7 linked regions of the Xenopus tropicalis genome follow. The protein of the gene in region 6 purifies or fractionates together with the protein of the main gene of each other region. This does not show direct contact. Links are inferred from orthologs where the notes say so. Each region holds a gene or a part of one and is shown on either strand. Other genes may lie near its edges.

What was found.
Region 1: the proteins of dvl2 (region 6) and iqgap1 purify together in Homo sapiens (affinity purification with western blotting; 3 studies listed by BioGRID, with this or other methods). This does not show direct contact. The link is inferred for Xenopus tropicalis from reciprocal best matches to the Homo sapiens genes DVL2 and IQGAP1.
Region 2: the proteins of dvl2 (region 6) and vangl2 purify together in Homo sapiens (affinity purification with mass spectrometry; 4 studies listed by BioGRID and IntAct, with this or other methods). This does not show direct contact. The link is inferred for Xenopus tropicalis from reciprocal best matches to the Homo sapiens genes DVL2 and VANGL2.
Region 3: the proteins of dvl2 (region 6) and nedd4l purify together in Homo sapiens (affinity purification with mass spectrometry; 4 studies listed by BioGRID and IntAct, with this or other methods). This does not show direct contact. The link is inferred for Xenopus tropicalis from reciprocal best matches to the Homo sapiens genes DVL2 and NEDD4L.
Region 4: the proteins of dvl2 (region 6) and dact1 purify together in Homo sapiens (affinity purification with western blotting; 3 studies listed by BioGRID and IntAct, with this or other methods). This does not show direct contact. The link is inferred for Xenopus tropicalis from reciprocal best matches to the Homo sapiens genes DVL2 and DACT1.
Region 5: the proteins of dvl2 (region 6) and sqstm1 purify together in Homo sapiens (affinity purification with western blotting; 3 studies listed by BioGRID, with this or other methods). This does not show direct contact. The link is inferred for Xenopus tropicalis from reciprocal best matches to the Homo sapiens genes DVL2 and SQSTM1.
Region 7: the proteins of dvl2 (region 6) and peli2 purify together in Homo sapiens (affinity purification with western blotting; 3 studies listed by BioGRID, with this or other methods). This does not show direct contact. The link is inferred for Xenopus tropicalis from reciprocal best matches to the Homo sapiens genes DVL2 and PELI2.

The regions. Positions count from the first base shown.
Region 1 is NC_030679.2:106,863,718-106,867,217, reverse strand, and holds part of iqgap1 (ras GTPase-activating-like protein IQGAP1), read left to right. Parts: intron 1-104; coding exon 105-275; intron 276-547; coding exon 548-631; intron 632-2,262; coding exon 2,263-2,334; intron 2,335-2,417; coding exon 2,418-2,487; intron 2,488-3,229; coding exon 3,230-3,438; intron 3,439-3,500. UniProt on the Homo sapiens protein: Plays a crucial role in regulating the dynamics and assembly of the actin cytoskeleton.
Region 2 is NC_030684.2:137,173,455-137,177,478, reverse strand, and holds the start of vangl2 (vang-like protein 2), read left to right. Parts: upstream 1-1,224; 5' UTR 1,225-1,466; intron 1,467-4,024. UniProt on the Homo sapiens protein: Involved in the control of early morphogenesis and patterning of both axial midline structures and the development of neural plate. Plays a role in the regulation of planar cell polarity, particularly in the orientation of stereociliary bundles in the cochlea.
Region 3 is NC_030677.2:201,768,976-201,772,475, reverse strand, and holds part of nedd4l (E3 ubiquitin-protein ligase NEDD4-like), read left to right. Parts: intron 1-2,610; coding exon 2,611-2,743; intron 2,744-3,500. UniProt on the Homo sapiens protein: E3 ubiquitin-protein ligase that mediates the polyubiquitination of lysine and cysteine residues on target proteins and is thereby implicated in the regulation of various signaling pathways including autophagy, innate immunity or DNA repair.
Region 4 is NC_030684.2:103,321,447-103,325,517, reverse strand, and holds the start of dact1 (dapper 1), read left to right. Parts: upstream 1-1,271; 5' UTR 1,272-1,551; coding exon 1,552-1,848; intron 1,849-3,313; coding exon 3,314-3,443; intron 3,444-3,720; coding exon 3,721-3,876; intron 3,877-4,071.
Region 5 is NC_030679.2:22,202,840-22,207,015, forward strand, and holds the start of sqstm1 (sequestosome-1), read right to left. Parts: upstream 2,801-4,176; 5' UTR 2,465-2,800; coding exon 2,275-2,464; intron 923-2,274; exon of another isoform or gene 485-922; intron 1-484. UniProt on the Homo sapiens protein: Molecular adapter required for selective macroautophagy (aggrephagy) by acting as a bridge between polyubiquitinated proteins and autophagosomes.
Region 6 is NC_030679.2:153,287,690-153,290,921, reverse strand, and holds the end of dvl2 (segment polarity protein dishevelled homolog DVL-2), read left to right. Parts: intron 1-725; coding exon 726-902; intron 903-986; coding exon 987-1,211; intron 1,212-1,300; coding exon 1,301-1,761; 3' UTR 1,762-2,732; downstream 2,733-3,232.
Region 7 is NC_030684.2:104,373,043-104,377,076, reverse strand, and holds the start of peli2 (E3 ubiquitin-protein ligase pellino homolog 2), read left to right. Parts: upstream 1-1,234; 5' UTR 1,235-1,598; coding exon 1,599-1,675; intron 1,676-4,034. UniProt on the Homo sapiens protein: E3 ubiquitin ligase catalyzing the covalent attachment of ubiquitin moieties onto substrate proteins. Involved in the TLR and IL-1 signaling pathways via interaction with the complex containing IRAK kinases and TRAF6.

The sequences.
Region 1 (3,500 bases), about 46 Mb from region 6:
CAGATACTGGGGATATTTTGTTTTTTCTCTCTTGTAGTTTTCTTTTCTAGTTTTACTTCTAACTTTATATATTAAATGCTGACCCTCCATTTCTCTTTCTGCAGACTACCATCTCTGGGGTTTCTGCTGCTTACAACAGAGAGCAGTTATGGCTGGCCAACGAAACCTTAATCACGAAGCTGCAGGCCAGGTGCCGTGGTTATCTTATACGCCAGAAATTCAATGCAAGACTGAAATTCCTGAGGGAACAAATTCCTGCTATTAACTGTATCCAGGTAAAAGAGATAAACATACCTTTATTTAGTAATTTTCCTCATTAATTTGGGTCTGTCAGTTTCAAGGATTTTATGTTGGTTATAGAGAATCACTGCATGGTACTTTGTAACCTTATTGATGAATATGTCTGTGTGTAATAAACAAAAATGGCCGTGCCTCAGAGGAATGGCAGTACCCGGCTATGTACTACTTTGAATCTGCCTTACAATAAGATCTACATTGAGATCTCTTATTTGCCACTATAATACTATATTTTTCTATCTGTGCCTAGGCCCATTATCGAGGACAGAAGCAGAGGAAAGAATACAAAGATCGCCTGCAATACCTGAATGATCATTCCGATGAAGTTGTTAAGGTACCTATTCTGTTTTGTTTTGTCCTTTTCTGTCATGTTTAGCCTGTTTTATTATCTTAAATCTGTCCTGTTTTTAAACATTCCAGTACAAAGAACATAATAAATGTTAATGATACATGCATCTATTGATTTCTTTATGTTTCATACAGCTCAGCATATACTGGTGCCTTGAGAAGAATCTAAGATTAATTTTTAACAGTGAAGTTAATTAGATATGTTAAAAGTTAGCTTTCTGTCTTCCTGTAGGAAGACATAATTACTGTTTTTAAAGTTTAGATAGGATTTACCCCAAAGTGGAAAACTTTTATTTCATTAAGTTTTTTGCTTAATGAAATATAATTCTAAGCAATGTTCAAACTGGCAAATAACCTTTTTTTTTTTTAAAGGTTGGTTTTTAACAACAGCAAATAACTTTAAAACCATTGAAACAATGTTTTGTTTTGTTGTTTAAATTAAATGTAAGTTTAATTGCTCTTAAATTGCTGTTAGGTTAGTGGCACACAGGGAGATTTGCCATCTGTGGTTAAATCTTGGCTACTGCAGGCAACAAATCTCCCCAAAATGCTTTCCCACTGGCAATAAAGTGACTCACCAGTGGGAAAGCACACAAGGCTCTTTGTTTTCCTAAGTTTCCCAAAGTTTCCTGTGTAGGACAGGTAGCACAAGGTATCTTATTTACAAACCTAAGAGAACTGACTTCTGCTGCATTTTTTAAGAGTCAGAATTGAGACAGTACTTTTTTTTTTACAGTACGTTTTTCAACTTTCACAATTGTTATTATGTGTCAGCTACTTTCTATATTTATATTTCTTTTCATGAAATTAATCCAGCTATTGGGATGAGCTCCCCAATAACTTTGCTGTATTTGTCACTAAGAGCCCTTTAATCTGTGTTTGTATTGTTGTATAAGAATGCTACAACTCTCTACATATTCATGTGATTATTTGACTATAAACGCTAGGTTAAGGCAATTTTATCATTCATTTTTTTTTTTTTTTTTTAAATACAAAGATTTTTTTTATATTTTGTTGCCTGCATGATGGACTGTTTCACATGGGTGATAAAATTCCCTGTATGCTATTAATCGTAAAGGGATATGGTTTCACAGTGGCTTTTTTACATTAGATATATGTAACAGACCTGACACAATTTTCATCGGGATAGGTTTAAATTGATATTGATGCTTTAAACCAGCTTTCATTTCAGTGGTAAGATGTGCGAGATGTGTTTTGTCGAAATACATGCTTCATATGCCTTCTCCATCTGTACTTTCTTCTTTCAAAAGGGCTCCTGTACACCGCAGGCTTCTCTGTGATTGCAATCTGATTGGATTCAAGCTGAGTTAGTTCCCCTGATTTGACAAATTGCTTTAGATTAGAAGCAGCCTCAGCAATACCACTATAGAGTTCCAAGTGTCAGAAGGAATTTTATCTGAACCCTTCTAGTAAGGCAGAATATCCATCTTGTGTCGGTCGGTTACTGGCTGATTTTTATCCTTCTCATTCTATTCTGTTTGAACTGTGTAGCTAAAATAATTGTTAATATGTCTCCTGCTTTCAATATATAATACCATCATACTATGTGTAGGACATTGGTACAAAAATATTAAACATGGTGTTTTTTTTCCTTAGATTCAGTCTTACACCAGAATGCATCAAGCCAGGAAGCGGTACAGAGACAGACTGCAATACTTCAGGGATCATGTAAGGACCTGGTTATATGTCCTTTTGTTTATTCATACAGTTTGCTTTGTGTTCTTAACTAACCCTGCCTTCTTTATCTTCAGATAAATGATATTGTGAAAATTCAAGCTTTTATTCGTGCTAATAAAGCACGGGATGACTACAAGACCCTCAGTAAGTGCAACGTAACTTTTGGTACAAGGGCAAGAACCTATGGTTTTATCCAATGTTGATTTTAGTTTCAGATCAGAATGCATTCTTATAATGGGTGATCTCCAGTGTTTTACCATTAAGGGATTTAAATTATGTTATATAAATATAATTACAGAAACCTAGAACTTAGGGACACAGTATACACCTCTTTTCAACATGAACTCAATGAATGGGACTTGCTGGACATACTTTTTTTCTATTGTTTCTGTTATTTCAGGCATTAAATAGGCATGTGAAGCCAGTTTCACGTTCAGTCTTCCTGTCACTTCATGACCCCAAAGAACTTCAGAGGAGCTGATAAAACTAATTACCAGTCCACTGAGACAACCCTGATAATGAGCTGCTTCTTAGAGAAGGGAGGGTTAGTTTGTTCAGATATAGTTAGGGAACTTTGAACAAATAGCCCTGTTTATAATGTTGGGGTGGTAAGGTCAGGGAATATAGCCCAGCTTTCATGTGAGTGCATTATAATGGCAACAGATAGGAAAATATGATTTTTTTTTTTTTTTTTTATTAAAACAATAGAATGTAATTTCACCACAAGTCCTATTTATTGTGTTTATATTTAGCAAAGGTGTTTTTAGGTGTATGCTGTCCTTTTAAGGCTGAAAAAAGACATATCCATTAAGTTCTTCTCACAAAGTGCTTGGTTATTAATCTGGTGCAACCCAGTTAATGTGTGTGTGTTTCTTTTAACACATAGTTAATGCTGAAAACCCACCTATGGTTGTTGTACGTAAATTTGTCCATCTGTTGGATCAAAGTGACCAAGATTTCCAGGAAGAGTTAGAAGTGATGAAGCTGCGAGAAGAAGTTGTGACCCTCCTGAGATCCAATCAGCAGCTGGAAAATGATCTTAATCTTATGGACATTAAAATTGGTCTTCTTGTGAAAAATAAAATTACATTGCAGGTATACCACTTATGCATGTTCTTGAGCAATTCTGACAATGCCTGAAGCTGGCCATAGATTAA
Region 2 (4,024 bases), on a different chromosome or scaffold from region 6:
GTCCCATGACCATATAAAGGTACATATATACATATATAATATACAGTAATTTCCCTATGGGACCAAACCATAAATGATATCCTTATAAATGGTGAGTAGTAATGTCATCAGTTATAATCTGAGCTTGGTGATGTCATTTCTGTCACATGACTCACTTAAACTTGTATATTATAATAAATAAAGTACCCCTGTTGTAAAATATGAGGATATTAGAAGTGACCTATGATTTCCATGACCTTTATGGTCATGGGACTTCTCTATGACTTATAATATCCCTATATGTTACAATAGGGGGTACTTTATTCACTATATAATATACAGGAGCCACAAATACCCTTTATATGGCCATGGAACCCCTCTGTGACTTATAATATCCCTATATGTTACAATAGGGGGCACTTTATTCACTATATAATATACAGGAGCCACAAATACCCTTTATATGGCCATGGAACCCCTCTGTGCCTTATAATATCCCTATATGTTACAATAGGGGGTACTTTATTCACTATATAATATACAAGAGCCACAAATACCCTTTATATGGCCATGGAACTCCTCTGTGCCTTATAATATCCCTATATGTTACAATAGGGGGTACTTTATTCACTATATAATATACAAGAGCCACAAATAACCTTTATATGGCCATAGAACCCTTCTGTGCCTTATAATATCCCTATATGTTACAATAGGGGGTACTTTATTCACTATATATAATGATACAGACACACCAGGGAGCCATGTGAGCAGTGACATCACTAAGCTTCCATTCTAAGGGATGACATCACTAAGCAGCATTGTTAAGGCTATGACATCACTAAGCAGTAGAATTGTTAGGCTCAGTCTATAGGCAGATAGCCTAACATTAACCCTTCTGTGACACCCACCCCAGTATATACCAGGCAGCTAGTTGGCCTCTGATAATGACTTGCTAAACAGCCCTTAGGGAGCGATTAGGCAGCAGCAGAAGGTGAGAGGGGAAAGAAATCCCAAATAAGATCAGTGCTAAAGCCCCAAGCTGCGCTGGGTTTGCCCCCCCCCCCCCCCACAGAAAGGGGATCCGGGGAAGTGAGACAATGGGCAGGGAGGGGGGAGGAGAGCGGTGGGTGGGGCTTGCCGGGAGGGCGGGGCTTGCCGGGCTGCAGCCGTAGAAGTGTATGGAGCTTGGGGGCGGAGGCACAGCGCTGCTCTCTCTCTCACAGCCTAAGGATTGTGCGTTGTGGATCTCCGGGGGATCCCGCCCGCTCCCCGTTCGGCCGCCTGTGACCCCTCTCCCCGCACCCCGAGTGTCGCCCTGTGGATTTAGCGCAATACCGGCGCAATACCGGCGCAGCGAGGCTCCTACAAAAGGACTGGCGCTCCCCCTTTCTCCCTCCGCCTCCTTTTCTCAAACAGCCTCCGTCCGTCTCCCTTCCCCCAGTGCCTGGGATCCCATGCCCGCCGGGAGCCTGCCTGCTGCCCTGGTAAGTACCTCTCCCCCGGGGTGGATTGTGCCGGGTACATTGTGCCCCCCATGGGTGGGTGAGAGTGGTACAGTCTCCTTGCTGTGCCCTCAAACTGCCTGCTGCTGCCTGCAACTGCCTGCTATCATTCTATCTATCATTCTATCCTACATTGGCTTCCCAGGTACATGCCTTTCCCTATGTTACTGTGGGTTTCACTGGCCTGCTTGGCATTTGGGCCCCTGTACCCATATTCCCTAGCCCTGCACCCAAGCCCTCTGGTTAGAGCTGGGTGCCACTGACTATTATGGGTCCGGTTACCCTGATGCCTGGCCTCCCATTGGCTCTGGGTAGCAGCTAGATGTGGGGTTCCATGGCCCTGCACCTCATCCCTCTTTTCAGCCTAAATCCCATTACCCTGAGCCTTTGCCCTCCCAGTAGCTCTGGGCCCTGTGGCCCTGCACCTCATCCCTTGCTTTAAGTCTGGATCCAATTACTCTGACCCTTAGACCTCCCATTTGCACTCCAGCCCTTCCTGTATATATACCCCTCATGGTCCAATTACCCTAAAACTTGGCCATCCTATTAAATCCTGCCCTCGCGGCCCTGCACCTCATCCCTTCTTTCAGCCTGGATCTAATTACCCTAAGCCTTTGCCCTCCCATTAGATTGGGGCCCTATGGCCCTGCACCTCATCCCTTCTTTCAGCCTGGATCCAATTATCCTGATCCCTAGACCTCCCATTTGTACCCCCCCCCATTAGATCTGGGAGCCACCCATCTTTCCCTTTAGATCTTGCCCTATTGCCCTACACAACAGCCCCCCCCCCCATTAGATCTGGGAGCCACGGCCTTGCCTCTTATCCCTATTACTGCTGATCCATAGCCTTCCCTTTAGATCTAGCCCTATTGCCCTACACAACAGCCCCCCCATTAGATCTGGGACCCATGGCCTTGCCTCTCATCCCTATCACTGCTGATCCCTGCTGAAGCCTTCCCTTTAGATCTAGCCCTATTGCTCTGCACCCCAGCCCCCCTATTAGATCCCCCTTGTCTCTCATCCCTATTACTCCTGATCCCTATCCTTCCCTTTAGATCTTGCCCTAATGCCCTGCACCCCAGCCCCCCCCCCCCCCCCCATTAGATCTGGGAGCCACGGCCTTGCCTCTCATCCCTATTACTGCTGACCATAGCCTTCCCTATGGACCTTGCCCTATTGCCCCGCACAGCAGCCCTCCTGTTGGATCTAGATCCGACCGCCCTGATTCTCCTGCATTCATCAGATCAAGCATGGGCTAGTTGAGGCCCTCCAGATCTTTTTAAGATGCAACTCCCAGCACCCCTCCTTCAGCAGCATCTGGAGTATCTCCCATTAAGTAAGCCTGATCCTTCATTTTGCCTTTGATTCCCATTCCCCTGGTTAGATCCATAGCTGCGGCATTCCCATGGGAAGCTGGGGGTGTCAGTGATCCTTTCAGCACTGCCTGAGCCTTACTAAGCCTGGCACAGAGCACTCGCAGCAGCCGCATTTCCCTTCCCAAGGCCTTGAATTCCACTGAAATCCCTGCAAGGCCCCACCAAGCCAGGGACTCTCCTGACGGATCAGCCTGGGTCATAAGTCAGTTGCCTGGGGCGGGTTGGTTTGGGGAGGAACTGCCAACGTTACACTTCACACCCAATCCACACCGGCCGTTCTGCACTCAATTGTTTCCCCCGTTGCTAGCCTCTCGGGAAGGGCCGTCTGGGCCGGCCTGTTTACTCTCCTACAGAACACAAATAGGTGTTTATTGTTCTACATTCATGCCATAAAGGAGCGATGATAACACCACGGTGTAGTAAAGCAGAGCCTCATTAATAATTAACCACAAAGCTGCGAACAACAAAAAAATACAGTTAAAGACTGTGAATGTATTTTTGGGTTTATTTCCCCTTTAGTGTGTGTATAATCTGTCAGTATATACGATTTACATGCGTGTGCATTAAATGTTTGTGTGTGACCTAAAATTAATGAATTTGAAATGCATTCCGAGCCCAGTAATTGAGTGTCAGGGTCAAGTATCTGTGAAGGGGGGGTGGGTAGATCTATCAGGGCACGGCGGGGGTGGCTGTTTCCCACTGAATGGGACAGAATTACAAAGGAGAAAGGGTGATAGTGTTGGTCCTTATAAAAGAAAAAAAAAAGTGACATTCCCACCCCATGAGAAGGAGCGTTAGTGAAAGGGCTGGGAAGATGATTTAGGTGCCTGGGGGGTTCATTCAGATGGTACCTGCCAAAAAAGTAGGGTTGGGGGGTAACAGGTGGGGAGAATAAAAACAAGTTATAGCATAGGGTATTGGGTTCATAGTCCAGAAATCTTGGCGCTGGTTTGGCTGTAGTTATAGCCAGGATGTGCAGCTCTGGTGATGGTTTTCGGTAGTGGTGGGTATTTGGCACATGAATTACCCCAGGCTGGTGCGGATGGTGGGTCAGGCGTAAATGTAGGCATTTAAAGCTTGCATTGGCCACTGCATGGGGCCTTTCTGACCAATATATGGCAAGATATCTTTGAAAATTAGGCTGGTGTTGTGACCCTCTCCCTG
Region 3 (3,500 bases), on a different chromosome or scaffold from region 6:
GGAGAACAGCACTGCGCTACAGGGCTCAAAGCAATGCCTGGGAAAGGGGATTGTGTGCTTTAGGGAAACAATATGGTAGCTTCCAACCAAATGTATAGATACCGATAAAGGGTACATAGAAGGGATGTTCAGAGTATGGGTGTACCCCCATACTGTATTCTTTGAGGAAAGTAGTGTAGTGTTTTTTGTCTGTTTGTATAAATGCAAAAGTTCTAAATTTACCACTTGGCTAGTATTTGGCCAGTCTAGCCAGTAAATCACCAACTTACCAACAATGTACTTCCCGGCAAATTTGTAATGGCCTATAAATCCCTCCCTTCCTCTGCTCTGCTTATAACCCATTCCACCCATTTCCCAGCCCATCTACCAGTTTCGTCCACCTTTCCCCCACCAATCCTGTCCATTTCTCCACCCCTTACATCATAGCCCCCCCCCCCCAATGAAAATATGACAACCATAGAAATCATTGAGAAGGGATAGTATATAATAAAGTATAGCATTATTATGATTGTAATAACATATTCTGCAGTACAGTAAATGGGTGTATATAATGAATATACAGATCACATACCAGACAACGGATAACCTGTATGAGAGGACAGAGGGCCCTGTCCCGGCAGCTCCTAATATAAATGTAAATTTCAAGGAAAAAATACTCTTTGGTCACTATAAACTGTATAGCTAACAATGAAGCAGCTCCCCCAAAGCTTTACGCCTCTGATTTAGTGTATAATCCCTAGGGAAACAATATGGCGGCTCCCACTTGGCCCTATAAATACCAAATATACGGAGAAGGAATGTTCTGTACACACAATAGATAAGGGAAACAAAATGGAATCTGCCTACATAACTGCAAATATGGACATAAGGAATGTTTGGTACACGTGGGAACAATAACTACAATTTTATCTCCCTTAGAAACATAAAGGTACTGCTTTCAGTGTACAAAAAATCCACCACAGTTTGCCAAAATGGTGTATTTTCACTGAACATTCCATTCTGTGCCCTTTTAGTAAACCTGGCAGTAGCAATGTGACTTTGCCAGGGCAGTAGCAGGACATTCATTTGGGGCAAATAAAAGCTGAGCCCACTATGGGAACCCTGAAATGACTGCCTGCTTAGGGTAGGGGTGAAATAAAGGCACCCTTGCACCCTAGTCTGCATGGAAATTAGGGTTACCCCCTTTTATTTCCTTGTAGTACCGGCCTTTGGGTCTAGGGATTAAGCGGGGGCACAATATGGGCAATGATGTCACAGGGTGGGAAAATGGGCAGGGTATAGGCGGGTATATACTTATATAATCCCTTAGCGGAAAGGGTCAGGGAAGGAAGAGATTTGTAGGGTATTACAAATTTTATTGATGGTAAGTATGTAATTTTGGTGATTGATCCGATTTTGGTGATTTACCAGCTGGGCCAATCAAATATCGGCCTGGTTTTAACCCTAATGAACAGGGCACCTTCATAATGGTGCAAGTATAGACAGAAGTCAGTAACATATTGAACTCCTGGCAATGTCGGAAATCATCTGCTTTGGGATTAATAATGTATAGACTGGTGAATAGTTCATAAGGCCGGGTAGTATTTGTACTCGCACAGCGTTAGTATCACTCACACGTAAGCATTTTCCTTTTCCTTTATTATTGGGAGAAAGACATCAAGATATTAATGGGCAGATAAAAGGCTGCTGGTAAAATATATGGAAAAATATTCCTTTGAGCCTACAGTGACATCTGCATTGTGTTATACATATGCTTTGCCCTTGGGCTAAGCTCCCTTTTTTATTATTAATAACAAATTCAGCAAAGCTAAAGGTGCCTGTATTACCCATTGCCGTGACTCAGACTTGCCTAGCCAACCGTATAAACCCAGTGGGAAAGTATTAAACCATAATTTAGTGCAGTTGCCCTAGAAGGCCATCACTGTTGTTTCCATAAGAGCATTAGCCTCTATTGTACATATATTATAGCAGCTGCCATGCAGTTTATTGCACAATGCAAAATAGGCTTTAATTGACATTTAATTGGCAAATCCAGGATTCAGTTCGGTATTCGGCCGAATCTCTTACAAAGGATTCGGGGTTCAGCTGAATCCGAAAATAGTGGATTTGGTGCATCCCCACTCCAAATGTTATGCATTCAGCAGAACTGCACCCAGCGTACATACAAATGCATCTCTTGCCCCCAGAGGTGAGCTATGAAGCCCGGTACCTGGTAGATGACTTAGCCCCCCCGGTGTTTGACGGCACCGTGCCAGGGCTCTGTATGTTCAGCTTTCGGCTAAGCTCTTTACAAGTGATGCCATACATACCATTTCGATAGAAGGGTAAACACTGTGCAGAGCTCTTGGGGATTAAAATAGAAGGTACTTGTGTTAATCTTATTTGCTTTTGATATTAACACTCACAGCAAACCTGGGGAAGCAGCAACACTATACAACCAAGCAGGTTCCAAGATTAACTCTTTAATCGCTGTAATCGTATGTGTTTGTGGTCATATATGGGATTTGAGGACAAATTATAAAAACTGCTATAAGCTTACCTTGTACAGACCTGAGCGGCAGTTAATGTTTAACACTTTCCCCTTTCCTGTGACCCCTTCATCCTGCGCAGAGACGTTACGTCCGAATCGGACAGCAACATTCGGCACATACAGCAAGAGGCCCACCGAGTGTTCCGATCTCGGAGACATATCAGTGAAGACCTAGAACCCGACCATATAGAAGGAGGAGCGGATGTTCCAGAGGTGAGTGCGGGGGTTACCAGTTTGTATATCTTACTCTGGCCCCAGGTCTTGTGTCTTTGCTTCATTGGTGATCCCAGTATAATATATAAGAGAGAGATTCATACATAATATGAGAGCAGTAGGTAAGTTCTTGAAGTGATACTAACATGCTCTTTTAAAAAGCCATAACATATTGGAATTACTTTAAAGGAGAAGGATTTTACTGCCAATAGATTTGCAACATTAGTGCCACCTAGAACACTATATTTATTCAGCAGAAAGCTTTACTATAGCTGAGTAAAGAGCCCTAGAAGCTTCCTTCAATAGCAGCTGCCATTTTAGCTTGGTCTTGGTAGCTTCCTGCTGCAGTTGTAGCCTTGGAAGCTCAGATCACACATTCCTAAGGGAGGATGAAGTAAGTTCTAATGCATTCTTATGGGAGGGGGAGAGGAGAGAACTGAGCAGACTCAAGCCCCAAACCTGAAGGAGCCCTAAAAGAGAGGAAGTCTGAAACCGAAGAACATGTTCACAAAAAATAAAACAAGAAAGTCTATATGTCTTTTGATAGAGGACTCAGTGCAGCGTTTCTGTGAGTGCTTATGGCTGTATTTACATAGACCTTTCTGATAAAGCTTACTTAGTTTTTACCTTTCCTGCTCCTTTAAAGATTTCTTCAGACATCAGAGCAGTAAAACAGACACCGGGGGTCTGCTACATTGTTTCATAGACATGATTACATATATATTATTGGTGGGACCTAATAGCTTAGGTGCATGTA
Region 4 (4,071 bases), on a different chromosome or scaffold from region 6:
AGTTTAATACTTGTGCAAATAGTCCTTAACAAAAGCCAAACAAAAACTGCCTCACAAGAATTAAAAACAAAAACAGTCACAACAGTTGCACAAAGGTCAAAGGTCAAATGTCACAACCTGGTGATGTGGGTTGTACCCTCCACTGGTAGAATACATGAGTGGCCACTGTAGCTGGATGTGATTAGGCCATGCTGGCTGCTGTAGCTGGTAGGCCTGGATATGTTCTGGCCATAACAGTAGGCTGACAGTTCTGATCTGGGCCTGGCTCTGTATTTACAAAGAAAAAAAAAATACAAAGAATGGGAACTTAGTAACGGTAGAATCCACACAAAAGTTGAAACCCAGCGCAATAGGTTCTACATTTTGTGGTACCTGTAAATCAGCTCCCCCCCCCTTCCCCCCCAGCCACTCCATGATAAGGAGAAAAGCAGTGGTAACATGAATCTGTCACATTCTCAGGGGGTTCAAATTCCTCAGCAGTTTAAGAATCAATCAATAAATGAATTATGTTCTCATATAAGGACAGAAATAAAACAGTAAGTCACTAATAGGGGGAGCCAACTTGCCCTCCAGCTCTTACTGAACTACAACCCCAGGATTCCATATACATGCTTCATTTTCCAAGTGGTTCTGGGAGTTTGAGTGCAACAGAAGCTGGAGAGTAGACGGTTGTACAAATGCAGTGATCCCCTCAAAGCAGGAGCTTATTTTTGAGGAGCTGCCAAATGGCAAATCAGAGCCCTATGTGTAACCCCAGGAACATTTTTCATACTTGTGTTGCTCTCCAACTCTTTTTGCATTTGAATGTGGCTCAGGGTAAAAAAAAGTTTGGGGGTCCCTGCATAAATGTATGAATACTGTGTAACTACAACTCTCACAGTACAACACCATTATTCTTCGTTTCCAATCACCAAAGCAAACGTTGCACCTGGCTGCCAGTAACACACTGCTTCGAGAACACAGAATGTTTGGTTTTGCACTGATTAAATACCTACATAAGTGAGCTGTTCTGGCTCATATTTTAAATATAACCATAGCTGTAAGGTAACGAATAAGTGTTTTGCCACTCGGTAGAAATGAATGAACAGTGTGGGCTATGGATCATGCATGCCGTGTATTAAGCACAACCGAGCGTACGTACAGCGCTGCCTCAAGTCTGCAAGTGAGCCTCAGAGCAGAGGGGCGGGGTCGGGACGTGTGTGACGTAGCGAAGGCTACTTAGCTTGGCTGGAGCTGCGGGACTGAGTGCAGAAGGATTGAGAGAGAGTGGAGGAGTGTGTGGCGGTGAGAGTGCTGCGGTGCTGTCATGGGCTGTTTCGCTTAGCTGCTCGCCAGAGATTCAGCAAAGATGCGCCTAGCACTGCGCAGGAGACGCTAAATCGCACGTTGTGCAAACTTGGTGCATTGTATCCGCTGACAAGTGGGAGTTTGGGATCGGTTCTTGCGGAATAGTGAGGATAAGGATTACCTGCTCATTGGAGCGCCCTTGTTCCTTTCCAGCCTGGCTGCCTTTGCAGATGCTCTAGCTTGTGGCTTGCTCGCTGTCCCAGGATGAAGCCGATCCCCGCCACCCCTGACCACCTGGGGCAACACCAGGAGAGCCCCCGCCGTAAGGACAAGGGAGAGGCGGAATCGGAGCGGCAGAGGACCCGGGAGCGCCTGGAGGCGACCTTGGCCGGACTTGCGGAGCTGGGCTATCTCAGGCACCGGCAGGAGCTGCTGGTAAAGAGCGCACTTACCCCCGGGGCACCGACTCACGGAGATACTGCCACTCGGGCAGGGGACACCCCCCGCAGCCTGGAGGAGAAGTTCCTGGAGGACAATATCTTGCTGCTAAAGAAGCAGTTGGTAGGTGTCTGGGTGCGGGGCACAGGGCTGGGTCTGTGGGGCAGGCTATTTAGTTTGTGCTCCGGGCAGGGATATGTATATATTTATATATGTGTCCGCTCAATTATATTCTATTTCCCGTTACGGTGTGTACAGACTAGTGATGCCTGCGTATGTACGATCCCATTGCACTTAATATTCTCAATACATGTATGGGAGACTGCCCTGCGCATTCTGTACTCAACATATATTTACTGCTCGATTACATGCAGTATAATTACTGGGAAAGCTGTCTCACATACTACCCACATGCGGGGCTGCACGACTCTTTAGCACTAGCTGATCCCCCCCATCTTATCCCCACTATACATTGCTGAGCTCTTTCAGTTCGTATAGAAACCCGTTTTCTAACCCCTGTGTGTGCAGCGCATCTGACTCTTAATTAGTAGTATATGAAAGCATCTGACTCCCCCAGCTCATGGGGCAGGGAGTAGGTCCCCCAGCTCATGGGGCAGGGAGTAGGTCCCCCAGCTCATGGAGCAGGGAGTAGGTCCCCCAGCTCATGGGGCAGGGAGTAGGTCCCCCAGCTCATGGGGCAGGGAGTAGGTCCCCCAGCTCATGGGGCAGGGAGTAGGTCCCCCAGCTCATGGGGCAGGGAGTAGGTCCCCCAGCTCATGGGGCAGGGAGTAGGTCCCCCAGCTCATGGGGCAGGGAGTAGGTCCCCCAGCTCATGGGGCAGGGAGTAGGTCCCCCAGCTCATGGGGCAGGGAGTAGGTCCCCCAGCTCATGGGGCAGGGAGTAGGTCCCAGCTCGCTGTGGATATCTGGCTCGCTTTCTAGTATAATGAATCCTAGGAAGCGATTTGCTAAAGCAATTAGGCGCACGGTGTGACCACCAGGGGGCAGCCTCACACCCGCAGATTGCTCCTGAATGGAGCTGCTTTGTGAATCGGCTGCTGTTTCAAATGGAAGGAAAACCACCAGAAGCTCTAATCGACACGTTTAAGGAGCTTAACCCTTTCAGCATGCCTTGTTTGGCACTCTCATCATTTTGTAATTAGCAGAACCCAGTGGGTAACCCTCTTACAGGATTAACCTCATTGCCCTTACATTGCACTTTCAGTTGTGCAGCTTTAATATGGCTATGCATTTGTTTGTGTTTACACATCCTCACCGTAACAAATTTGTGTGTATGTGTATATATAATATATATTTATAATATCAAAATGTTTTGTGTCTGTTAGTACTCCTTATTGGCAGGACACAGATTTCTGCCAGTCAGTTCCTTCTATTAGTGGCATCTGAATTCTTTTGGTACAGCTTAAAAGACAAAGCTTTATGTCTGTAAATGGCAAGCAGCACAGATGGTCTGGGCACAGTTCATGCTGTAGTGCAATGACAAGATCAATGTAAAGATTAGAATAAGTGTATTTTGATGCAAGGTTTGGTTTCAAATTACATTTCTGACTGCCATTTCTTTTCCACAGAACTGCCTTAGAAAGCGAGACGCAGGTTTACTAAGCCAGCTTCATGAGTTGGACAAGCAAATAAACGATCTCAAAATTGATGTTGAAAAGACAGAGGAGCATCTGGAAACAGACAGTCGACCCAGTTCAGGTAAGTGTGAGATACTGACGTGATATATTTATCTGTGTGGGTGGGAATGCGCTCCTTCCAGTGGTTCATTTGATTATATATTTACTTATTGTAATTAACTGCCCCACTCAGGCACTAAAGGTTTGCTATTTTGCATATGGCTAAGTACTGATAATGAGACACTTCAATTCCCCTTTCTTGTCTTGCACATTCTCTGAACCACATCCAATCATTCCTCTAGCTCTGCAGTGTGTTTTGTGCCCTTCTCCTTACAAAAGAATGCTGTTTTTATTTTTAGGATTTTATGAGCTGAGTGATGGGACGTCGGGATCCCTCTCCAATTCCTCCAACTCAGTGTTCAGCGAATGTTTATCCAGCTGCCACTCCAGCACCTGCTTTTGCAACCCCTTGGAAACATCATTAAACCTCACAGATGGTCAAGCAAAGTCTGCAGGTAATGTTTGTTTTCTTTGCCTTCCTCTGTTGTATGGAGAGCTGTTCTTGTACGTTCCAGTGTGTACAAAAAGCTGTGTCTTTGCTGTCTTTGGAATTGATTAGCAGTCTGGTTTGACTGAAGAATTCCCCCCTGAGTTTGACTAAGAAAATAACCTTTTGTGATCGAAGTGTTTATTATGCACTTGGAGTGCTT
Region 5 (4,176 bases), about 130 Mb from region 6:
CTGGGAATCATTTATTAACACTGGGCAAATGGACAGTAACCCATGACAATTACATTTTTGCTTTCACTGTTCACTGTTTTGGCTGGCTAAATCAGTGATTGGTTGCTATGGACTACTGCCCACGTGCAAATTTGCCAAGTGTTGATAAATGAGCCCTATTATGTTTTGACCTTATTTAGTAACCCAAGGCTACCTGCTACTATCTAGCAGGGAAGATCTGTACCGCTGAAGATGCCTCCCATAGCTCCCCATCTTCTCTGCTGCTAATTCACAGCACATACTCTGGGGGGCTACTGTCATTTGCCTAAGCATAAGGACCCATTCACAATATACATTCTATACATTTAATATAAAAGTTACAATGAAAGTCTAATTAGTAATTAAATGAACTTCACATTAATTACACACAAGTTTAGAAACCAGTGCAACCTGAAACATCAGCTTCTGTAAAAGTTAAACTTAATTTTCTGTTTGATAATTTCAGGCAAAGCTTAATTTCTCAAAAACAGCCAAGAGCACACAGAGCAAGTGCAGTGTCACTGACACTAAACAGATGGCTTAACAAGGTCTAAGATGGTGAGCTGATCTGGAGTCCTGCATAATTCCTGTTGCCTCTGCTGTTACAACAAGTGCAGTATATAAAATACAGCATTTCAAGAGAAATTCGTTTTAGGCTAGGCGTCCTCCTTCAATGTAATACACAGCCTGGCTGAATTCTGATAAGATTGAAAAATGAAGTCTGATCTGCTGAGACTATACATTGGTGACCGTGGGAAGCTACAACCTTTGCACAGTTGCACACTATACTTCCTGTACAGGAGATTGCCTCAATGCTGTGTGAGTTGTTTCTATTATAGGTGCCATGGATCTACCACGTATTTCATTGACTAAACACTGGACAGCTATTATGGTATCTGCTAAGGTAAGGTTTAGATATCGCTCAGATTCTGCTTAATAACTCTTTAGTGCCCTCATCCTAATAACCTGCTTCCCCCAGTTTCAGTCTCTAGCTATTATTAATCAGGTCCTGGCTCGGGAAAGATGTTAACCAGATCCGGCAAGAGTGGAAATTTCCACATGTATAAAAGCCAAGAAACATTGTTATCAGCATAGTTCTGACCTACTGACAATCATCCAAACGTATCACAAAAAATACAATACAAGCCGACAAGTACAAATATATAACACAGACCTTAGACCGACAACCTTTGCCACTCCCCTTGCATAACCAGACAGCACCAACAAAACAAACACACAATGGCCCTTCCCCTTTAGCAGTGATAAAGCACGCAGCCATGTTTTTTTATAAGAAAAATACTTAAGTTGTGTACATAACCCATGCCAGTGCTTGTGTGAGCTGCAACACCCAAATCCTGGGCACACCACGGATCACTAGACAAAATTACTAACTCATCTATTAAGAAATGGTTAGAAAACTGTCTGTTATTCATTATTTAAACATTATATTCATATTGTTTTTCTAAATCAGTTTGTAGTACTAGTTATAGTACTAATATCTGCTAACAACCATCTTATATTTATTAAATGAGTCACCCATGTAGATCAATACACGAGGGTTAGGGCTACCAACAATCCAGTGAGGGCAATGTGGCTTGTGGGCTAGGTGCCTTATGCACAGATTGCCCTACCCACATTCACTGAACTTTCCTTATTATTTGGCCTCAGCGCTGTTTATTCTGCCCTAGGCAATAATATTATGCTGTGATTCACCCTGAAGCCATAACCACACTGAGATATAAACAGAATTAGTAGCTGTAGCACAAGTTTGTGTTGCTACCATCGACTGTACCCGAAGATCGTTCCTATTGTGGGTAGGCTGTGTGTGCGCTGAACAATTATTTGCACATACAAGTGTATAATGTACAGAATTTACCCCAGACACAGGCAACCTGTTGCAACTCACTACATTCTTCCAGCGTATGAGCTACAGAGGGGTGTAGTTCTGCAACACAGAGACTGGAGACTGGTTCTTACTATTATTACACATGATAAACTGGCAGTCATTCAGCATCCCCTGCTGGACATGGTATCTTCCAAGGAGATTATTTGCCCATTAGGGAGGTGGGTTTATCCTCATGCCAAGCCTCATATTACCTTGAAATTGGAAGCAAAGTGCAGGGGATATATATGCCAATATCTGCTGGCAAATATGAATGAAGGTCAGGTTTGAGGTCGGGTAATTATTAATTATATACCCATGTAACAATTATTTGATATAAGCAATTATTAGTATATAATGACTGAGCTTCCCACCTTTGTAGAACATCTGGAAGGCTCCCCCTTTGAGGCCCTGGAACACGCCAGTCACCTTGTTAGCTAGCAGCTCGCAGCTGGACACGGACGCCTTCTCTTTGCCGGCAGCCGGCAGCTCCAGCTGGAAGCGGCGGATCTCCCTGTGACTCTCATCCTTGCCCAGCAGATAGGCTTTCACGGTGACTGGCATGGTGGCACCTTGGGCACCGTATAGGCGGCGATGTCGCAGTTAGGAACAAAACAATGAGCAGAACGACTGCGCAGAAGTTTGTTATTCTGTGACTGACGGCTGAGAGCAGTCCCAGCTTTATTTATACAGCCAGCCTGGAAATCCCCACTCCTCCTTAGTCCACCCTCTACGTCCAATGTATTCCTATTAGTATCAGCCCTTTGGAACTTGCCAGACTCTTCCACTCTGCTAGCCACGCCCACCAACCTTGTGATGTCACCGTGACCTGGCAAAACAAAGGGGGAACTCCACACAGTGAGGGGACTAAAGACTACCAACTGCAGGGCAATATTACATAATAAATGACAGATTCACAGTCCTCTGAACAGTATAAAGTACAGTTTAACTGAAAAGTGTACAATAACCTCTTTTTGTGAATTTAAGGTTTTTATAAGTATAATTAAATATAATTTCTTACTCTATTCTCTGTTTATTCCACTTTTGGGATTGTAACTTCCTACACATAGGGGCACATTTACTAACCCAGGAACGCTCCAAAAGCGTTTTTTTTTCGTTATGATCAGTATTTTTGCGACTTTTTCTGCGCCATCACGACTTTTTCGTATATTCCATGACTTTTCGTCACATTACCGGAATGTTCTTTTGTGTGCAAGTGCACTGATCGAGCCCATGCAGATATGCACTGAAAGATCAAAGTCAGAAAGGTTTTCCCGGCGTTTACGATCGGTCAGTACGAAAAATTTGCAATGATGGCGACGAAAAAGTTCAGAAACTTTCGTTTCCAATCCGAATTTTTGCCGTTCGGGATTCAAATTCATGGAATAGTAAATGTGCCCCATAGTGTCTGTATCTTAATTATGGCGCCAGATGTTGAAAGACTGCAGCTCCCAGAGTGCTTTAAAACTAGACTATATGGTGAAGCGTGCAGGGAGTTATAGTCCAGCAATATATAGGAGCCCAAGCTTTGGAAACATCTAGAACAGTTGCAGATTGGGGTTGCCACCTTTGCTTTCCTATATTTTATTTTATCATTCTCCATTACAGATAACATCAAGCATAAGTTTTGCTGGACAGATGGCAACTCTATTCACAGATGGGTCACTTGCCCAGTTTGAGTTATGGTGAATTTTAACTCAAACATGACAGGAGAATGTAGGGCCAATGCCTTTAATGGTGAATATAATACAGTTGCAGCTTATGTTCCTAAGCAGACTGAGGCCTACTGTGTCGGACTGGCCCACCAGGATACCAGGAAAACTCCCGGTGGGCCGAGGGGTCAGTGGGCCCTTATTCTCCTGACCATTTGGCATACTTCAAGGTCATTTGCTATTTCTGAATGGGAAGAAAGAGGAGAAATAAATGGAAGGATAGATGTAAATAAAAGAGACTAGGAGAATAAAGAGGTTGGGTGAGGAAAGGAGGAAATATAGTTTGGAGAGTGGGCCTAGGGTCCAAGGTTTTCTGGTGGGCCCCTGGGGTCCCAGTCCAACACTGCCTACTGTAGCTGGAACAGCTGCTTACACATGAAATTGGATGGCAGGGCTAACATGGGCATTCAGAAGTTGAATCTGAACACTTTTAGTGAAGATCCAATGGGATTTGTGACCTGCTCAGGTACCTGAGCCTCAGAAGCGCATACAAGCACTTTGCCTTGGGAGCAGTGTCTGATCAGGGCAGCAAAGCATTTATTTAGGAACAACAGTGCGTTTGGC
Region 6 (3,232 bases):
GTCCCCTTGCCCCACCAGTGACTGTCCCCTTGCCCCACCAGTGACTGTCCCCTTGCCCCCCCAGTGACTGTCCCCTTGCCCCCCCAGTGTACGTGACTGTCCCCTTGCCCCCCCAGTGACTGTCCCCTTGCCCCCCCAGTGTACGTGACTGTCCCCTTGCCCCCCCAGTGTACGTGACTGTCCCCTTGCCCGCCCCAGTGTACGTGACTGCCCCCTTGCCCCCCCCAGTGTACGTGACTGCCCCCTTGCCCCCCCCAGTGTACGTGACTGCCCCTTGCCCCCCCCAGTGTACGTGACTGCCCCCTTGCCCCCCCCAGTGTACGTGACTGCCCCCTTGCCCCCCCCAGTGTACGTGACTGCCCCCCCAGTGTACGTGACTGCCCCCCCCAGTGTACGTGACTGCCCCCTTGCCCCCCCCAGTGTACGTGACTGCCCCCTTGCCCCCCCCCAGTGTACGTGACTGCCCCCCCAGTGTACGTGACTGCCCCCCCCAGTGTACGTGACTGCCCCCTTGCCCCCCCCAGTGTACGTGACTGCCCCCTTGCCCCCCCCAGTGTACGTGACTGCCCCCTTGCCCCCCCCCAGTGTACGTGACTGCCCCCTTGCCCCCCCCAGTGTACGTGACTGCCCCCTTGCCCCCCCAGTGTACGTGACTGCCCCCTTGCCCCCCAGTGACTGCCCCCTTGCCCCCCCAGTGTACGTGACTGTCCCCTTGCCCCCCCCAGGCTCAGACATGGTAGACTGGCTGTACCACCACGTGGAGGGCTTCCAGGACCGGCGGGAGGCGCGCAAGTTTGCCAGTAACCTGCTGAAGGCCGGGCTCATTCGCCACACGGTGAACAAGATCACCTTCTCGGAGCAGTGTTACTATATCTTCGGGGATCTCACCGGCTGTGAGAACTGTAAGTGCGGGGGGTAACTGGGGTAGGGACATTGGGGGGGCAGTGGGGCAGATGGTCTCTGAGTGTTTTGCTCTCCCCCCGCAGACATGGCCAACCTCTCTCTAAATGACAATGATGGATCCAGCGGTGCCTCCGACCAGGACACTTTGGCCCCTCTGCCTCTCCCTGGGGCCTCCCCGTGGCCCCTACTCCCCACCTTCTCCTACCAGTACCCAGCCCCCCACCCGTACAGCACCCAGCCCCCCGCCTACCATGAGTTATCCTCCTACAGCTACGGCATGGGCAGCGCCGGCAGCCAGCACAGCGAGGGTGAGTCCAAGGGGGCAATAAGGGGCAATATTCTGTGTGGGTCACCGGTCCATCCTATTGGCTAATCTCTCCTTTCTTTGGTCCCACAGGGAGCAGGAGCAGCGGCTCCAACCGCAGCGACGGGGGGCGGGGCACGCAGAAGGACGAGCGCTCGGGGGTAGTCGGGGTGGGCGGGGGGGAGTCTAAGTCGGGATCTGGAAGTGAGTCGGAATACTCCACCCGCAGCAGCATAAGGAGAATAGGGGGTGGGGAGGCTGGCCCCCCCAGCGAGCGCTCCACTTCATCGCGGCCTCCACTTCACCATCCACCCTCGGTCCATTCCTACGCGGCCCCCGGCGTCCCCCTCTCCTACAACCCCATGATGCTCATGATGATGCCCCCCCCACCGTTACCTCCGCCTGGGGCGTGCCCTCCGTCGTCTTCTGTTCCACCCGGAGCTCCGCCCCTTGTGCGGGATCTAGCGTCTGTTCCCCCGGAGCTAACTGCCAGCCGCCAGTCGTTCCACATGGCCATGGGCAACCCCAGCGAGTTCTTTGTGGATGTCATGTGACACTAAGGGGCCGTTAGTGCCCTTCCTACCCCCCCCCCCGGGCTCTGTACGTACAATCAGCGTTTATATGGTCACACTTACATTTCAGCCTAGGGCAGGGATGCCCCTTGCTCACTACATGGACCCGGGCTCTCCTGAAGGGGGCAATAAACCCAGAAGGATTATGGGAAGCCCACCACAAAGGGGACTATCGATACGATGCTATTCCAGCAAGGGGTACGGACTATCCCCGCCTTTGCTTTTCTTATTATGGGAGAAATTAAGCTTTTTTTTTTCTTTCCTCCTGTTTATGTTGACACTATAGTTAGTCGTGATGTCATAGCCCGGTGACATCACTCAGAGGGGCGTTGGCTAAACTCTATAACAGTAGGGTCTTACTCTAACCCTGTTTGTAGGAAGAGAACGTAAGGAAATAGTTGAAACGAACAAATTCTGAACTCTGATGTCACCCATCAGTGACCTCATTGGTGACATCATAACCTCTGTCTGTTACTAAACACTAAAACTCCGAGGGGTCCGCTGTACGCTCCTATCTACACGCACACGTATGTATCTCTACACAGACGGTACTTGCCCCGCAGGGTGCAGTGATAATGAAGTATGTTTATCCGTGTATGTTAATAATGTGCCCCCCTGGGGGCAGGAAGGGGGGGGGGGGGCAGCCTTTCTGCCCCACGAGACACTGCTTCTCTGTTACCAATAGACATTTCTTTGTATTTTTACACGTAAAGCTGTCGCTGTGAAACAGACTCCACCCCCAAACCCCCCCATTCTGGCGCCGTCGGTGCCTTGTCAGACCAACCAATGAATGCCTTAGTGTTGGGCCCAGATGGGGGAGGGATTGTGGCCCTCTGGCTCTGCCCCGGGGGCAAATTAAGTGCCTCGGTTACTTGCCTCTTATTGTATTTATTACTTTTTTTTAGTGCATAAACCTCAGTAATAAAGGAAATAAACCTTGTGTTTTATAGCAAGACCTCCCTCTGCGTGCTGATTGGTGGGACTGGTTGGATCCACTTCTGCCTTTTCCCTCCTACAGAACCAGCGCCACAAGGTACCACAGAGGCTCTTGGTTGGGAGAACTCGGACCTTAAGTACTGGGGTTGTTTCTGCTAGAGAGGCTTCCGGCCACCAATCACCGGTGCCGTATTCTTCTGCAGGGCAGGGACCCCCAACCAGTAACTCGGGGCAACATGTTGCTCCCCAATCCCTTGGGTGTTGCTCCCAGTGGCCCCAAACCGGGCAGTTATTTTTGAATTCCTGGATTGGGGGCATAAAAACCAGGTGTACTGGCAAACAGAGCCTCCTATAGGCTACCAGTCCTCATAGGGGCTACCAAATAGCCAATCAGAGACCTTATGTGGCTTTATTTGTTCTTGGGTTGCTCCCCAATTCTTTTTACATTTGAATGTGGCTCATTGGTAAAAAAGGTTGGGGATCCCCCCCCCCCCGGCTCTAGAGCATAGAGAGCTCC
Region 7 (4,034 bases), on a different chromosome or scaffold from region 6:
CTATCAACTTACAGGAGGCTTTATGGTAGTAAATCCTGTTTTTTTTCAACCAAAACTTGCAACCTAGTCAGGAATTCAAAAATAACTACCTGGTTTGGGGGCACTGAGAGCAACATCCAAGGGGTCGGTTAGCAACATGTTGTCCCAGAGCCACTGGTTGGGGATCACTACCCTAGGGCCATGGATGTTGTCCTCTCCTGATGGGTCTACATGGCCAACACATAATCCATTCCTTGGCCTGGGGTTTAGCAAGATTTGGCCCCTGACTTGTTAGTCATCTTACAGCTTCTCCACTGCCAAGAAAAATTCTACCCCTAGCAAGAGTCTGTGTGTGTTGGGTCTCTTAACAAATATCTGCTGCAGTGTGCACTGCATTACAATTATTTCCATAAATCAGGATAGGGAATTTGAATTGATCTTTTAGTTTTATACTATGTGCAGTGAAGTTGCTGTTCTCTATACATGAAATGAAGCACAAGACGCAATCATTTTATTAATCAGTAGGAGCCCCCAACTTGATTTACTCAAACTGGAACCAGGATACTGGAGCAGCTGGACTGTGTGCAGCATACAACACCCAGATATGATTGAAATGTAGCTTGTCAAATGATATGATACTGGCAGAGGCTTTATAAAATATCAAACCTTTAGCTGTAAACACTTCTTTGCATCACTTAACCAGTAATCAATGAATCATTTGCACTTTATTATAAGAGATAATTAATAAGACAATAGATCAGGTGATATTTTGATTTGCTACTTCTCTCTCTGAGGCGGGCATTCTAATTGTGAGGATGCTTGGTACCAATAGATCAGTAACGTCACCTTTGCGGATAAAAATAGAACTGCCCCTTTAAGAGCTCCCTATCCCATTTTACTCTATGTTTACATAACAGTATGGACGCTCCCACTCTTCACTTTATGGAGGGGGGTTAAGTGGCGGAATCTGTTACTGGTTAGCGCACGTTCCTGTTTTATCTAATCCGTTCGCTGCTTGGTAAGAGAGGACCTATCATTTGCGGCAGCTTGTTTCCCTGAAAGCACCGAGATAGATACAGGGCAGGGAATGTTTTGTGTTTGATTATGCAAACTCCGCCCACTTCTCTCCCAACGCCTAATCCAGAGTCCTGTTGCCACGGCACTTGGAAAGCAGCGGGGTTCCATTTGTTGTCTAGAGGGGGAGGAGGAAGGAGGTCGGTCCCGCGAGTCATTCGCAGCCTCTCTCTGTTGCTATCGCGTCGGTTGCAGGGCAGGAGGCAGACGCAAGCGGCTTGTTCCTCGGGAGTGCTGCTGTTTTGCTTTGGGCTGCCGGAGACAGGCCGCGGCGCTTTGGAGGGATTATAACCTTTCCCGTCAGCTGGAGCTGGAAGAAACTACTGGGGAGGGAGGGGAGAGTGCGGCGGTGACAGTAATCTGCGCCACAGGGCAGCCTCTTTGCTCCTAGGATTTATCCGCCACCCGGGCTGGTGAGCTGCGGCATCCGGTGTGTATATGAGCTGCCATGGAGTAGAGGGGGTGCGGAAGTGGAGCTCCCCGAGGGATTGTACGGCTGGCCGGGGACCGTGCATTGGCAGAGGGTGACGGGGACCGTCTTCTCCATGTTTTCCCCCAGTCAGGAGGAGCACTGCGCCCCCAGTAAGGAGCCCGTCAAATACGGAGAGCTGGTGGTGCTGGGGTGAGTCGCACACACACTGACATAGGGCAGAGCACAGAGGCCACTGCCTGTCTCCTCACTATCACAAGCACAAGGGGGGGGGGGGGGGGAGTACAATAACAAAGGACATATCATAAGGGCAAATGGCTTATTACACTGTTTAACAATTGCTTGTTAGTCTCTGTATAAACAACACGCACCCCCAAGCTTCTGCCTTCCAGCTGTTGTTCAACTGCAACTTCTCACATCCCACCTACAGCATGTTAGCAGTTTGCAGTAAGGCTACAGATTGGGAATTCCCAATTTATGGAGCAGAACTCAGATGGGCTAGCAAGCTATACTGTATTGCTGGGGGCCCTCACCCACACCCTGAGCCAGCAAGCCAACCGTGGGGGTTGAGATGAGAGGGTACAGCGGAAGTAGTGGAAGTTAAATGCGAATGCATGTTATATTATTGAAAGGTCAGCTTGATCAACACAAGAGCTTACAATTTAGTGAGAGAGGTTCATTTACTAAAATGCCATATTGGCAAGTGAAGCTGAGAGCAATTATATCTATGTGTAACAGCTGCTACCTGGCAGTTAAAGGGCCTGGTTCCATGCTGCACTGTTTGCTTAAAGTTTGTGGGACTCCATTATAAGAGTGGTGGAAGTGACTCAGTACACAGAAGGGGGTGGGTGCAATGTGGAGCAGACATTTACATGTTTAAGGCAAAAGGATAATGGGCCTGCTCATAAGATTTTGAAACGGCGGGGTTTCCTACCTTTTCTTAGGGTTGAACTATAATTCCAAGCACTCCCCGCTGTGCTACATGTATAAGAACTCTGTGTAGTGCAGCCTGGGGGGCACTGGAGATTTTGGGGCTGCATGTCAGCCTCCAGTTGGAAAGTTCTGCTGTGCTGCATGTTGGATCACATTGGCTCACAGCCCTAAGAAGGGATATGCCACCTTCATCAGTCAAGTAGCTGTAGAGTTTCCACTAAAAGCCACATAAAGTTGTATTCCAGCGGGACTTGAAGGGTTAAATATTCAACATCCATGATCTGGAAAGATAAATATGTTTTTGGCCCAAATATTAGGCCAACCCACCCCTGTGTATTCATTGTTGGGAAATCATTTTATAACAGCCAGTAAATGGGAAATCTCCCTGTAGAAGCTCATGCAGCATTTATTTTGTGTTTTAACCCAGGGTTTTACTTCATAGCATTGCATAGCATAGGTATTGCAGGAGTTGTATGCGCTGGCCAGGCAGGGCAAGTTCTACTTCATGGTGCTTCAACATGCAGCCATTTAGTAGTTCTGTTCCTAAGAACTCCAGGTGCTTTTTGCTCAGCTCTCTGTTTTGCTTTGTCATCAGTACCTGCCAAATAAATTTATATATAAACGTCCTATAAAAAGCCTTACTTGACATTGGCTGCGCTTATTCATATGTGCAAAGTATAGGAAACCTATTCTAGGTATGTAATGCCTCAGTGTATCCCGTATTACAGAGGGGCAATATCAGTATACAGGAAGTCATTGTATTTGCTGTGTTTTAGGTCACTTTCCCAGGGGGTTGGTCATGCCTCTTTCTTATTCTATGAAATCCAGTATTTCCTGTGTGAAATCCTCTAACATCTGGATTGCCATTTCTGCTGCATGTTATTGTTTACATATACGTAATGCTGCAGTTTTTCCATATTGCTGAACCACAAAGGGGGGGAATACAAACAATTGCATATCAATGCAGTCCAGTAGAAATGGGATTTAATTGCCCCATTCCTTACTGCTTGCTTTTCCATTTCCGTTATTGGTTTGGTAAGCTGCTGGGGAAATTACAAAATCCCACGCATGCTAATGTGCTTTGTGTGTGTGTTTCCCCCTTTTCTCATTGGAACAGTCTGGTAACAGGATTGATCCAAGATAAAGTGAGGGGTACTTCAGATTGGTAAACGTCAACTTTCCTTCTATCCCAGGCTCTGCAGTATGCTTATATGCAGATTGTCATTATCACCATAAATTATAAAGCAGTAACCTATTTTGCAGGGCTGCACAAACTGCCTAATACATAACTGACAGCTGGGGCATGGTATATTTATGATTTACTTAAAAGGCTCAAGGCCCGGCCCTTTAGATCAGATTTAGAGGAGATATCCTAAGCAGCAGTCATGTGAAATACTGCTTTTGTTTTCCCTTTGAGAGCTGCTAGGAAAGAAAGAGTTAAGAAGGAATTTACCAAATATTTTAGGCTTGGCTTTTAATGAGTGCATGTGCTCTGGTATTTTATTTACCACTAAGGTATTTTATTTAGCCCACCCCCTCCATCTGCTATTGCATAAGCAGCAGCAGCACTTCAAAAGTGAAACGGAATACTGGAAAAGTAAAGCAACAATGCCAAAGA